Diceros bicornis minor: one gene and its partner. The protein of the gene in region 2 purifies or fractionates together with the protein of the main gene of each other region. This does not show direct contact. Links are inferred from orthologs where the notes say so. Each region holds a gene or a part of one and is shown on either strand. Other genes may lie near its edges.

Region 1 (7,509 bases), on a different chromosome or scaffold from region 2:
ATTTTGACTTGTTTCTCTGCTCTCACCAGGGGTTGGCAAACTGGGGCCAGTTCTGTACAACCCCAACCTCCAAAGGGAAGATGTGTTTAAAGCATTGTTAAAAAAACAAAAAAAAAAGGAATATGTGATGGAGACCATATCGTGCTCACAAAGCCTAAAATACTTACTGTCTGGCCCTTCACATAAAAGTTTGCCAACCCCTTGGTAATCTATAATTGTTTTTAAACTGCAGGTCTCAACACAATTTGCTTAAAAAAAACAAGACAATTGGGGGCCGGCCTGGTGGTGTAGTGGTTAAGTTCGTGCGCTCTGCTTCAGCAGCCAGGGGTTTGCAGGTTTGCATCCTGGGCATGGACCTACGCACCGCTCATCAAAAGAGGAAGGCATCCCCATACAAAACAGAGGAAGATGGGCACAGATGTTAGCTCAGGGCTAATCTTCCTCAGCAAAAAGAGGAGGAGTGGCAATGGATATTAGCTCAGGGCTAATCTTCCTCAGAAAAAAAAAAAAGAGCAAGAGCAAGAGCGAGAGGGAGCGCCAGCGCGAGAGCGAGCGAGAGAATTGATTGGAATAGATAATATTCTAGTAGATGTTTTCTACTGCACCAAGTAGAAGGAAGCACCACTGCCAAAGTTTCTGTTATACCTATACACAGATGTGTGTATTGGATAATGGTCACACTGTATTTGGTTGCAGTCAAAAAAGTTTTAAAGTCCTTGGGGCTAGGGCTGGGGAATAAATAGTGCAATTGGTTAATAAGCATTTCTTAAAACTCACACTGAGAAATTTTTAGAGTAAAGGTGCCTTGGAGAATATAAAACCATTTAAAATGATCCCTGCTGTTTAGAAGTTAATGGCTTATTTCTTCATTGCAAAATGGAAATAAAATCTGTTCTGTGTACAATACACATTGTTGTAAGGAGAAAAGGGAATCACCAATGCAAAGTACTTCAAAAGCATTATACAAACAAAATATTTTAGTTATACTGACAATATATTGTATCGAACATATATAGGTTCTTTACCAAGTCCCTAAATTCCTAGTTTCCTCCCATATGGGAAACAAGTCCTTTTTCCCTTTGTGTGTGTGCATGTGTATGTATGCGTGTGTACATGCCTGTCTCAGGAGCATAAAAGAAGTATTAGATGCCTCTGCCCTTTCTGTGTCACCCATCATTGGCTTCTCTTTCTCATCTACTTAAAATATGTATTATTTTATCTTTTTCTTGCTTCTAATAAGAAAGGCATTTGATTAAATTCTTGCGCAAAAAGAACAATTAAGACTATGATCATCCTATCCCTGGAAACATTAACAAGACCAAAATTAAAATTTTTAAAGTAACCATCTTCCCTTTTATCTTCATAGAGCACTAATTTCCAGGGCTTTTGTGATTATTTTGGACAAGCTAAAAATACACTGATTTTATAACACATTTCAATAATTTTGCAAAGAAAAGAAACACCTTCCTAGCAACATGCACAAGGAAATGACACTTGAAAATGTTTTCCTTATATGAAATGCTCTGCGGACACACAAACCACAAGCAGTGTAAATAAATAAAGGCTGGTGCAACGCTCAACGCACGTTTGCTTTCCACCACAAAGAGAAAAAAACACTTGCACATTTGCACACCATGGTATTTTAGCCTTGGGATGCCATAAAGATGGGATCTGGGCATGTCGTGTAAACACAGGAAGCTGTAAATGTGCGTGTCCGTCTGTGTGTTAGGGAAAAAGGGTTGTAAGCAGAAGGGGTGGGACTTGCCAGGAGCAGCTATTTGAGAAAATTCCTTTTTCTTTTCCATTCATTCTTTCCAGCTTCAGTGTCTGGCACAGTCCTTACAATTACTCACTGGTTTTTCATTCTAAAGACAACCAACAAGCTTTCAGAACTTCCTACAGTGTTTTTCACACACTTTTTATTTTTTTAAAAAAGGCTCCATATCATTCAATATTTGTTTTAAATAAAAAGCAAACCATTAGCCCGTTTCCTCACTCCAAAGACCCCATGGGTCGCAGGCTAAACAGGATCCTTTGTTGTGTGTCCAAAAACAACAAAATGCGGTATTGATAAATGGGAAATTAACAGATTTGTCTGTTTCCAAAAATATGAAAGCTATTACCATAAATTTTGTTCTGCCCCAGTGAGTCCAATTTCATGCTCCTTTTAGTGAATTGGCCATCCTAATAACAGTAAAGCCAATCCAATTGAACACCCCTCACCTCTTCTCTTTGGACGCTCTATTAATAAACATAAGGGCTGAAAGAGGACGCCAAATGGGCCAGTTTTTTATGCACAATGGTACCCGTCAAACGAAATATTTCCAACCACAGTGGAAGTTGTCTTTCAGATGCCCACTCAAACCGGTCGTCCTCTGCCTCTGAGTCCAGGACGAGAACCCAACCTTTCAGCTCCCCACCTCCAGGGGAGGGGACGAGGAGGAGAGGGCATGAGAGCAGAGTAGGAAGGTGGGCGAGTGGGAGAGACAGAAATGGATGCTGAGGGGGTAGGCGAGATAGGAAGGTAGGGAAGGTGGAGAAGGCGGGCAAGGGTGGGTGAGCAAAGCTGCAGGATTAAAGGGCAAAAAAGGGGGAACTGCACTGGGGAGCCGGGGCGTGCGGGGGTCGGGTCCTCACCGGTGAACGCCCCTGCGTCTGCGTCCGCGGCCTCCTCCTCCTCCCCGTTCTCCGAGTCGGCGTGCACCGGCTCATCGGCAAAGTTGACCCCCCTGCTGGGGGTGCCGCCCCCGGCGGCGGCGGCGGCGGCGGCGGCGGCGCCCGCGTCCCCCCAGGTCCTGCCCTCCTGGCCGCAGCGCGCGGCGCCTTTGCGCTCGTTCTCCTGCTGCAGGCGCGTGAAGTGCTGCAGCGCGAACTCCAGCAGGTCCGCCGGCTGGTGCCTCAGCACCTCCACCGTGAAGCCCTGCAGCAGCTCCGTCAGTCCCGCCGGGATCTCGATGCTCATCCTGCCTCCGGGGCAGCGGGCACCCGGGCGCCGCCCTCGCCCCCTCCGCGGACCGGCCTCGGGCCCCGCGGCCCCCGGGCGAGCGCGGACGGCGCTGGCGGCGCTACCGGCTGCGAGCGCGGCGCACTGGGCCCCGGCGGCCCGGCTGGCCCGGCCCGCAGCTCCTGGCGCGCGGCTGCTCCGAGCGGCGGCGGTGGCTGAGCGAGCGCGGCCCCGGGAGGGCTGGCAGCATCTCCGGCTCCTCCCGCGCCCGCCGCGGCCGCTCCTCTCCCCCGCCCGGCCGCCCCGCCCCGCCCCCGCCCCCGCCCCGCCGCCGCGCGCCCACGTGACTCCCGGAAACCATGGCAACCACCGCCGGCGGGCGCCGCGCACCCGCCGCTCGGGCAGCTGCCGGCCTGAAGACGGTGGAGGGCGCCGGCGGGCTTGCGGGGAATGCTGCTCCGGCGCGCAGCGGGGGCGTGGGGGGCCGCTCCACACTACCCGGGTGCCCTCTTCCAGGCGCGTTTCGCCGTCCACCTGTCCGCACTCCCCGGAGCGGGCTGGCCGCTCTGCCGAATTCCCACCTGTCATTAACCACAGGAAACCCACGCCGAGCTGGTGCCGCGCGATTTGCCCTGAAACTTCAGCCCCCACCTCGGTAGCGGCATTTTATTTTCCTCCGAGAATCTATTGATAAGTGTTGGTAATGTCTTTTGTTTAAAGTCATATGATGGCACTGATTCTCTTTTGGACATAATGCTCCATCTTTGTGACACCTTTCTTTTTCTTTCGCCACGTTTTCTCCAGCCTTTCTCCATCCAGTCTATGATGTTTTGCCTTACTGATACTATTTCATTGTCCACTTTGTGCGTTTACTACTGTTTATTGAAACAAATGCACCATTTGTTGTGCGGCACTTACCAATAAAAATACATCTTGATATAAACCCTTTGTTTGTAATCCAATTTGTATTCATTCCATGAGTGAATGTTTTCTTTATTTTCGTTTCTTATCAACCTCATAATAATATGTTGTCTTTAAATATAGTAAAGTACTTCTAATTGTAAGTGTCAAGCATTTTAAGATGTAAACTTTTATAAAGTACTGTGATCCTCACTGCATGGCCCACAATATTAGTCAAACTCCAATCGTATAAGCATTATATAAACCATATAGGCATTATTGTCTTTATAGCTCCAGTAATTTAAGATGAATTTGCATCATCTGTCTACATTTATGATGATGTTTTTATTAAGATTAGCATTGATCTGTCTTCATTAATGATGATGTCTTTATTAAGATTACCATTGCTTGCATGTGGCAGAAAATGCAAAATACAGTAGCTTAAACAAGAGAGCAGCTTATTTCTCTGTAATGTAAATGTAAACAGGGCAGGGCTGGTCGGGTGCTCCCATGGTCATCAGGCTCCCAGGCTCTTTCCAGCTCATAGCTCCGGAATCCTCAGTTTGTGGTCCAAAATTGCTGCCCCACCTCCTGTCGTCTCATCCATATTTCAGCCAAGAGGAAAGTGGAAAAGAGAAGGGAACCTCTCCCCACCTCCCCAAAACACACATCCGCCCCCTAAGGACACTTCCAGAAAGTTAAACACACTAATTCCTCTTATGTCCTCTTGGCCAGAACTTAGGATGGCCACACCTATAGTGTGGCAGATTGCATTTTCCAAAGGTGGCTGCAAAAATATCTCCTGTCCCATGTGCTCTTCTGCGTGTGACCTTCCACTCCTCCATCAAGAGCTGGAGTCTTAATTCCCCTCCTCTTGAATCTGGATGGGCTTGTGACTGCTTTGATAGAAGTCACTATCGCATGACAGAAGCAGCCAGCCCCGTGATGCCCTGTTCCAAATCCTGACCCACAGAATCTGTGAGCATAATACAAAGGTTGTTTTAAGCCTCTAAGCTTGGTGGTAATTTGTTACACAGCAATAGTAACCGAGACGCATGGCTGTAAGGAAAGCTTGGGAATGTAAGCTTTATTTTGAGCAGTCATGTGCCAACCAGACATTTGTAGATTACGGACAACCAATTCTGGGGACAATAAATAGTGTCTGCCACAATGCTTAACACCCTTTCCCCCATGAATAACAGAAGAAAAAAGCACTACTTTTCCAAACACTTACAAAAGCCATATTTCAAAGTAGCATCCTATATTTTGTGTTTTCAAAATGCATTGATTCCTTTTTGTAGATTTACTATATGAGGCATGGTAAATGGCTCTGTCATCAACCACAATGCCAGGGTCGTGTGGCTGTCATTTCTTTAGGGGTATAGAAGTGAGTCAAGCAGGAAATGCATAACTGGATTAGATGACCTTTATGGTCTCTCCCATCCTGGGATATTCTACAATAGTATAATATTAAAAGAAGACATGTTGGATTTAAAACATTTTTGCAAACAACTCTCTGATAACGATTTTTGTTTGCATAAATTCTTAAATCAATAACCGTGACCTGAAAAAGTAAAGCTTGATCCTGATATTCCTGTTATGTTAATATTGTTCTCAGAACAAACGTTCACTCCTCAAATCATATTCTGGCTTTTATTCACTACCACATAACCATTTTGGTAATATTGTATGATTTCCTTTGCTTTCATTTTCAGAATATTTCCTTTTGAACCTTGGAGTACAATGACAGTGGCTTATGGGGACTATTTATCTTCAAATTCTTTAAAAGAACATCACGGATATTGATTCTTTGGTTGTTGATTTACAAAGCAATTTGCACTAGTTTCTCAGAGAATCAGAAGCAATTGCAAAAGAACTCCAAGAGTTCAGCATTGGAATGCAATAAGAGCGCTACCAAATGTGTTTTCACATATGGGGAATTAAACACATATTGGACAGAGACATCAATTTGTTTATATGCAGTTCCAAAAGAGGACAAGAGCGTGGAGAAGCCAATAGTTTGGGCAAGCTTTACAATGGATGATACTAACTACGACCAATCAATCATACGGCATTTCTTATCAATAGTTAAGATGTATCCTGATCAAGTCTCTTTGGCGCAAAAAATGTATACCCACTCAAGGGAAAAAAAAGTAGGCAGGGGCTACTTTTTTTTGAAAGGACACAGGGGCTGTGCCTGCACAGGGCCACTGTGGCCATCACTCAGTTTTCTATACCTTTAGCAGTTCAGCACTGACTACGGTCTCGTGTCTCTAGCTCATATTCTCGAGAGAGGATCCAGCTAGTTGGTCCTGACCATCCAGTGGACTGGCTGGCCTTGAGTGAGGGCTCCTCTCCTGGTTCAGTCAGTGTGGCCAGTGGGGTGCAGGGTAAGGAAGTGGTCAGGTAGTATAAATACAGGACAAGGCCTTCCTCTCCAGCAGAGAGAAAAGTCCCGCAGATGGGCACTATAGGTGGTAGGGGTGCCTCACAACTTGTCTGCTGAAAGATGGTCACCTCAGAGCCTGAAAATCTTGTAAACATTTGGAGTAAAACTAAACAAAATGTTTAATCTCTAGATGCGGTTTTGCGAAGCGTTGCCTCTAGAAGACCAGTGGTTCTCAAACTTTAGCAAGCATCAGAAGCACTTGCAGCGCCTGTGAAAACACAGTTGCTGGCCCCACCCCCAGATTTTCAGAGTTAGTAGGTATGAGGTGGGGCCTGAGTATTTGCATTTCTGTCAAACTCCCAGGTGATGCTGTTGCTGCAGGTCTGGGGACCAAACCTTGAGATCCACTACACTAACTTTCCCAGGAAAGAGTTTCTACTCATAGTAAAAAGACAACTGCTTAAAGTAACTTTTTTGCTTAACATCAAAGCAAAGCATAAATTTTTCTTTGGCTAAATGAGGATTAAATGCAACTTTATTATTCTCTTCTCCTTAAGGGGTCTTGCAAAGTTAAAGAGATTGTCGAAAGCAACAGAGAATATGTCCTTAGATTTCATAAATAGAATATGATTTTCCTATTAAGGACTAGGTTGGACTCAAAAATTTATCTCCACTTCCGGAAACTGTACTAAAATAATGGCTAAAGGAATGGGGAAAATAAAACAAAACGATAAACTTATAAGGACAAAAGAACAAAAGAACCAAAATAAAAAAACATAAAAAAAAAATAAAAAATTTTAAATGATTCAGCCTTAAAAAGGAAGGAAATTCTGACACATGGTACAACATGGATGAACCTTGAGGACATTATGCTAAGTGAAATAAGCGAAATAAGCCTGTCTGATTCCACTTATATGAGATGTCTGGGGTAGTCAAAATCCATAGAAACAGAAAGTAGAATGGTGGTTGCCAGCAGCTGAGGGAAGAGGGAAATGAGGAGTTGCCGTTTAATGGGTAAAGAGTTTCAGTTTGGCAAGATGAAAAAATTCTGGGGTTGGTTGCACAACAGTGTGAATATACTTGACACTACTGAACTATAGATTTTAAATGGTTAAGATGGTAAACTTTATGTGTATTTTACCACAAGTAAAAATTTTTTTAATTTGTTAGTTAAAAAAAGGAAGAACAGGAGAAGAAACAAGAGCAGATGAGAGTTGTCCACTAGAATTGTGGAACTAGCAAGCTAGAGAATGCTGGAAGCTCAGCTTGGGTGAGG
Region 2 (7,726 bases):
CTTACTAGGCCACACAAAGTTCTTCTCCTGAGTGTGTGAAGCCCTCTCTGATCCACTGTCCCTTAGCACCATATCCAGTTGCCACTAACTACCTGGTTCATATTGCCAGGACATAGGGGCTGTAACAAGGTCCCCCAATCCCACTTCCCTATCCCTGTCATGAATTTTACCTAGGGCAAGTACGCTCACCAAGCTATGGTGAAGACAAACTGGTTCAGAGAAGAGATGTGCAGACACTTGAAACAGACACAAGGATTCCCCAAGCCAAACAGACTATGACCTGGTTGAAAATATTAGCATGTCAGAGACAGAAAAAAGGTGTATGTGAGAAGAGAGTTTGATCATTAGTGACACACCATCCAGGGAAGGAAGAACCCATTTGTATCCCTTGATACTCTGTTTGAAGCTTTAAAGTGTTTTTTAAAATTTAGAATTCACTGATTAATCCCCTTTGTTCTAAATTCAAGTTTCACAAACAATCTTGTGGTTCTAATTTGGCTTCTGAATGTGGCAAGTATGCCCAGAGACCTCACTGAAATAACAAAAGAGGGTCTAATTCTCTAAGATGTTAGAATCTTCATTATAAATTAATAATTTGCCTTCCTGGGTTTATATCATAGTCTCGTGGATTTGTTGAATATCAGTGTGAGAAACAGACTCAACAAGTTAAAGACCAGATTCTCACATACTTTCCAAGATAAGGCCACCTTGTATGGCTTCTTGGGACACAGTCAGCCAGCCTTCCCCAGAGATATTCTTTTATTTACTTATTTTTTATTTCCACAGTCCATCTTTCTGTTACAGCACTTACTCCATACTATACATAGTTAGATGAGCATAGTTTAGAACTACAGAGTCTCAGGTACCTGAGGGTAGTTTTGGATCCAGTTTTGTACTGGCCTCCACCAGCACTGCTCAATAAATAACACTGAATTAAATTGAATCTGGATAGTGTGCAGAGTTGCTTTCTTTCATTTTTTAGTTGATTGGGAGTTAGAAAATTGGATACCAAAAACACTCCTTCCCAAGTACAAGCCTCTAATTCTCATAAACCTCTAATATTATAGTTAAGACACGTATGTTTTTAAAAGTACGCTGCACATTCCTGGAGACTTGATTTTTAAATGAAGGTCAGAGTAGCACCAACCTCAGTGAAGTCCCTGACACTGTTTCCTTTGAGAATTCCTGAAATGTTTAAAAACATTTCAAGGCTCGTCATTACATCAACTAAGATGAATGTAGAGGTTTGTCAGATGAGTAACTATTAATGAAATAATTAAAGCATGCTATTTATTTTAACAATTAAACCACAATTTAGAGAACCAAATTCTAATCCTACAAACTTTTTGTTACCAAAGACAGTAAGAAAAATCACACCTTTATGATAAGAAGTCACGATCCACTTAAAATTTTGCAATGGTAATGCTTCTTTTGATGAAAGGAGGTCACCCCAGTGTAGATAAAGTAGTTAAGAAGATTTTAAATTATAAATATATATTCAGATTAAATTTTTTTGTTTCAAGCTTTAAAAAAACTCCAAAGTACTCTGTAAAAAATATTCAACACCCCATAGATAGATATGTTAAAAAAAAAAGTACTTATATTTAGGCTAAAATTTCACTTTATAAAAAATCAAATAATGAATACTTCTTGCTTCATTCCTTCTTAAAAGCAGTAATTTATTATGGATTTCTTAATAGAAATGTGATTCCTTTAAGCACTGTTAACTGAATGTTTGATTCAGTCTTCTCAAATAAACAGTGGACAGTATGATGAATCAATACAATTAAGTGGCTGTAAATAAACTTGTTTCCTAGTTCACAAATAAAGCATAGTTCTGAACACAGAATACAGATTCCATTAATATTTAGTTCTGTAATAAATACTCAAAAGATCCAAATCCTGATTTTACACATAGGAAACTGAGGCCTAGAGAAATGAGTAACTTTTTTCAGATCCCAGTTAGTTAAGGGCAGCTTAGAGACTGAAACCACTATCGCCTTGTAGTTTGTTTCATGGGTACTAGCTTCCCATAAGAGAATAAGCCAAAGATGCTATGACAAGGAAATGCTTATTTCAAAAAAGGCAGCAGCACCATCTGTCTCTTCTCCAAAAAATCGTATGCATGGCAGATTTTCATCCTGCTACTGCTGCGTGAAGACAATTTGGGCCTCATTTGCCCGATCTTCCAAGCCAGAGCAAAGGAAGGGACCTGTTTGGGTGGAGCTTGTCCTGCACAACCTCATCCAGCCAACAGGCAGGGCTCCAGCTCTGTAGGGGAAGAGAGGTAGCCTAGGAAGAAGGGACCGTCACCAACCCCCATCTTGCTGTCTGTATCTAAGATAAATATGAAAAAAAAAATTAAAAAGAGGGTGTAAGAGAAGGCAGTGCCTACTCTTTCAAATGTACTCCCATGCACATTTCCTGATCCTTTATCTCCTTTTACTATCCCTAATGCTTCCACCCTGACATGGCCTTCTGAATCATGTATTCATCTCTCTTTTGACTCCACCCAACAAGCATGGCCTTCAACCTCATCTCCGCCAACAAAGCGGGTGATCTCCACATTAAGCAGAGACCTTGGGATAGAGACTGGGTTTCCCAAGATTTAGTCCGGTACAATCCAGCACCCCATCTTTATTTCTAGGCAACCCTCCACTGTCTCTCCCCCTCCCGTCCCCGCCACCAGCTGCATCACCCCTCACTCCTGGTGCCCTTCAACCTTCTCCAAGCTAATGTCACTTGGCACCAACCCCTCCCAGGCGCCCAGGTCTCCAGCCCCTGGGTCCCAGTCCCAGGAGCGGTTCTCTAGCCCAGCGCAAGGCGCGCCGCCCCTCTCGGCGCAGTCTGCAGCCTCCGGCGCACCCGCGGTGCTCTCACCTCATCCAGGGTGCGGCCGCCGCGACTGCCTCTTCCTCCTCGGCCGCTGCTGCCCAGCTCCCAGCCTGCTCGGGATGCCGTCCTTCCCGGCCGGGAGACCGCCGCGAGGGCTGTGGGGCTTGCGCCGTGTCCCCAGACCAGTAAGGCGCGTGGTGCGCCCGGCGGGATGCGCGGCAGCAGCTGCTGCAGTCGCAGCGGCGGCGGCAGCAGGATCCGCTGTTGGTCCTGTTCATGGATTTCCCGAGCCTGGCCACGCCAGTCCTAGCTACCGTCCCTGCTTGGTTTTCCTACGATCTTCCCGCACTGACAAGGCGCATCCATCGTCTAGGCGTGGATGAGTATTCACACCAGTTGCCACTGTTGTGGTGGAGACCTGGAAGGACTAGGCCTCCTCCGCGCCTGCCTCTGCCACCTGCTCCGCCCAGATTGCCTCTGTCCCTCTCCCACAAACATCCGCCGCTGCCTCTTCACCCTCTATCATCTCCCCATTCTCTCTCCACCTACTACCCCCACGTGGAGAGCTTTTCTTTCCCAGACTTCATTCTTTATTTTTCCTATCCGTTCTATTGTCACCATCCTCAATTTCCAACCTCAAGAACTTTCTCCTTTTCTCATTTCCTCTCTCCGTATTTTCCCAGTTTTTGTTCTCCTCCTCCCTCAAAAGCAGTCATCCTCTTGTATTATCCTCTCCTCAGAATCACTACTTCTCCAGGTTGTTGGCTAGCCTCTTTTCTCCCTCTTTCCCGCCTTCTCCTCCTTTTAAAATCTTCTTTTCAATTTTCCCTTTAGTTATTGTAAAAACCTTTCTCCTAAACAACCTCAGTTTTCCTTTCAGTTGAGGCCTTCTGATTGCCATTTTTCATGAAGAACTCATAGTAAAATATATATAGCTTGGTATCCACCATCAAGTCAAGGGTATGTTTTCATGGTTAGAAAAAAGTTCATAGGTCAAATAAGTCCTCCACTAAATGTTTGTTCTGAAAACCGTTTTCTTATATTCCAGTGTCCTCTAAGAATGGAAGCTAGTGAGTCTCCAGCAAAGCAGAATGCTTCTACTACACTATTCTATATGGCACAAAGCCTGCAAGGGAGAAGCTTTATCTTTGTGGTGGGTACTATCGATCCCAATGTTGATAGGCAATATAGTCACTATTGTTGATTGACTCGATGTGAACTGTGAAAATTAATAAAGGGAAACCTCATTTAAAATGGAGTTGGGAGGCTGGGAGGGGGAGCTGCCATGCAGTACCATTGAAGGTCAATTACAGAAAAGTCAATTATAGACCTCAACAGAAAGAAGTCAACAGGAAAGCACCGTCAATTACAGGAAGAAATGTAATTGGATCCCAAACAGAAATGGACTACCCCAGCAACTTAGCCAATGAGAAACTCTCAATGTCCTGAACTCTTGCTTTTCCCCAGTGAAGTGTCCTTCAAAACAATCCCTCCCATTTTCCTCCTTTTTCTCTATAAAATAACATTCCTCTCTCTTGTTTGTTGGATTTGCCAATGGTCCGCTATAGCATGCCCATTCCAAATTGCAATTCTATGACTATTCCCAAATAAATTCATTTTTCTGGTAAAATAACTGGCTGTTTTATTTTTAAGGTTAACAGAACAAAGCTGAACTCACCCTTAATTTATTTTTCCTTCCAAATATGCTGTTCAGTCTTGTTTTTTTTTAACCCCCACACTACCATCAACCCAGTGGCTCAAGCCTCAAACCTGGGAGTCACTTGAGACTTGTCTCTCTCACTTATCCATCTCATCCAGTTTTTAATTCCACTTCTTTACTATTTCTTTATCTTTAAGTGGTCGCCCCCATCATGATTCCAACTGCCTCTTGGAAATAACGCTATCTAGTGTCTCATCAAGTATCTCATTATTCTTTCTTTCAAACCTCCTAACTTAATCTATATCTTTACCTCTCTTTCTTTCCAATCTATCTTCCCTGGGCAGTTTACCCTACCGCTCTCATCTCTACTTAGAAAGTGTTAATTATCTTTTGTTGTCTTTATATTTTTGGCCTCCCATTCTCCATTAGCTCCATCCCCAGCCTATAAAGACGCTCAAGTCTCCTCATCCCTAAAACAAAGTTCTTCCACCTCTAACCACCGTCATAGCTCTCACTTCCCTTCATAACCAGTTTGCTTAAATACATTGTATTCATTTGATGTCTATACTTCCTGACTTCCATTCATTCTTTACCACCTAATTCTTGGCAGTCGGGCTTCTAATCCTATTACTTAGCTGAAGCTGCTCTCCTAGCTGACTCAGACTTTGGCTTTGCCCACAGACGAGTAGTAGATTTTATATAATACACAAATTAAAAGGAATGGGTTCATTAATTTAAAGAGAATATGCCATCTTCGTTAGTTGAGGCAGACAAACAGTTCATCGAAATTACCACAAACCCAAAAGCTAAGAAGTGCTGAGACTTCCAGTTCCAGCCAAAATGGAGGAGCATGTATCAGATTAACTTTTTCCTCCTGGGCAAGGGGAGTGGAATTGCATAGAATATATAAATATTAATAAATATATAAATACTATATATATTTAAATATAGGAAAATACAAAAACAAGTCTTGGAAGGCATTGAGGAGTAGCCAAAGCAAACAGGAATCCAATCTATGATCCTTGAGAGAAGAGAAGCACATGAGGTGAGCTCCATATTCACCCTGGGATTTTTCTCCTGAGAGAATTTTACAAATCAGGTGCTAGAGAATAAAGGCCAAGTACAAGATGGCAGTATTACTGGGCTAAAGAGACAAAGGTGAAAGTTCAGGGCTGCCAAAGTGGCTGGGACTTGAGGGAGAATCCCCAGAGAGGGGAGAATGGCAGAGAAGCAGCTCAATAATCTGGGTACAAATTCCCCTCAGAATAGGGGCCAGTTCCTAAGCCCAGCATGCACAAAGCAAGATGCCAGAAAACAGCAGTATGGAGCCTAATGAGCTAAGAAGAGATTTCAGCATCTAACACAAGTTGGACTTCAAGCCTGTCCAAGGTAGAGAGACACCCAGGGCTTTCAGCTGATACCCAAAAAGGCCACACTATTAGAGTAAGGGCAATACAGTACTGAAATAGAATAGGTCTAACAAAGCTTAAAACCACGTCTTTACAGGATCAAACTGATCTGCCAGTATTCTTTCTGCATACCAGAACAAAACTGAACTCTTGGGAGTTGAATAACATTATCCATAGCCTCTACAATTTTTTCATCCACAATGTCTAGGATCCAAGATAAAATTATGAGGCATTCTAAAAATCAAATCCAAGTGACTAACCACTAAGAGAAAAATTAATAGAAACAGACCTGGATATTAGAGTTGACAGGACTTGAAATAACTATGACTAATAGGTTTAAGAAAATAGAGGAAGAAATGAGCAATGATGTAAAATGGATAATTTACTTCAATATAGAATTGGAATCTATAAAAAAATCAGATGGAAATTCTGAATATAAAAATTACAATAACTGAAAATAAGAGCCCATTGGGTGTGTTTCCAGCGGTCTGAATACAGCAGAAGTCAGGATTAGTGAAGTGGTAGGTAGGTCAATAGAAAATTCCAAAATGAAGGACAGAAAAAAGAAGAGAAAAAAGAGCAGAGCATAACAGACATGTGGAATACAGTCAAAAGATAAAATATATGTGTAATTACAGTCTCTGAAAGAGAGGAGAGCGTGAGTGGGCTAAAAGCAATATCCCAGGAGATAAAGACTAAGAATTTTCTAAAACTGATGAAAGATATTGCCTTCTTAGATTCCAGAAGTTCAGTAAACCCCAAGTAGAATAAAAAACCAATATATCTCGGAAATATTAGAAGCAGTTTCAACTCAGAAATGTGCTGAAGACAATTCTCCAGCTGAAATAAAGTAGGGAATCTTGATCAGGAGGCAGGTTTCATAGGCCTAATCAGTCTCATAGCGTTTACACAGTGGCTGGAGTCACTGTGCAAGGGCTGAAAATGAACACGCACAAGAGAATATGAAAATTATGTCACTAAACAGAGCCTACACTCAAATCAGCCCTTGGGTGTCAGGAAAAAAGGGGGAAATGGAAATTAATAGGTTTTGATTATGCTGGTGGAAAACCAAAATCAATAAGCTCATTAAAACATAGTTAGTAACCGGAAAAAAAGACTGCCAACCTTTAAATTGCTAAATTTTATAACAAGGCAGGAAAATCTCAAGTGTCCTTCCCTGAAAGAGGAAACAATTTGTATAGGTGATTCCCACCTCCATTTGTCATGTATTAAACACAGCACAATAATTAACCTCATCATGGGAAACATTTCTCTCAATTGAGACTATGTTTACAAGTCATAGGTTCAGATAACTGGCATAAAATGATTGGTAAGCCAGAGAAGCTAAAACTGAAAAGGTTTTCTCTTCTTTCTCTACTCTTGATGCTGAGTTTCTGCTACGCTGTTCAGAAACAGCTATGTGGTTCTGACATATCCCAAGTAGTACACTGGCTTCTGATAACACCATTTTGTTTGGGTAGCTCTATGGCCTTGGAATTTACTTTTTAATTTTAATGTTTTGGCTTAATTAAATTAGTATTAATTTAATATTTTGATAATTTAATATTAAGTGTCCTATTATGTTTTGGATTGTTTGAAAGTAAGAAACATCAGAAATTTTGATTGAATCAATTCAAATTGAAGATACTGAAGAAATTTTCCAGTGAAAACAGCTCAGCCTTACAGCTGATGAAAGAATCCTGATTCTACCCAGGCACCTGTTTAAGAACAATGCTGGCTGAGCCTAAGTATAATAAGTAGTTGGGAAATAATGATTTTTGCATTTTAATTTCTGTGAACTTCACAGAGTCTGGATTTTCTA

The links. Proteins that work in one complex are often made in the same cells at the same time.
Region 1: the proteins of PDE4DIP (region 2) and PRKAR2B purify together in Homo sapiens (affinity purification with mass spectrometry; 4 studies listed by BioGRID and IntAct, counting the BioPlex papers as one, with this or other methods). This does not show direct contact. The link is inferred for Diceros bicornis minor from reciprocal best matches to the Homo sapiens genes PDE4DIP and PRKAR2B.

Annotation. Positions count from the first base shown.
Region 1 is NC_080742.1:11,401,127-11,408,635, forward strand, and holds the start of PRKAR2B (cAMP-dependent protein kinase type II-beta regulatory subunit), read right to left. Parts: upstream 3,138-7,509; 5' UTR 2,963-3,137; coding exon 2,638-2,962; intron 1-2,637. UniProt on the Homo sapiens protein: Regulatory subunit of the cAMP-dependent protein kinases involved in cAMP signaling in cells. Type II regulatory chains mediate membrane association by binding to anchoring proteins, including the MAP2 kinase.
Region 2 is NC_080743.1:52,080,134-52,087,859, reverse strand, and holds the start of PDE4DIP (myomegalin), read right to left. Parts: upstream 3,114-7,726; coding exon 2,881-3,113; intron 1-2,880. UniProt on the Homo sapiens protein: Functions as an anchor sequestering components of the cAMP-dependent pathway to Golgi and/or centrosomes.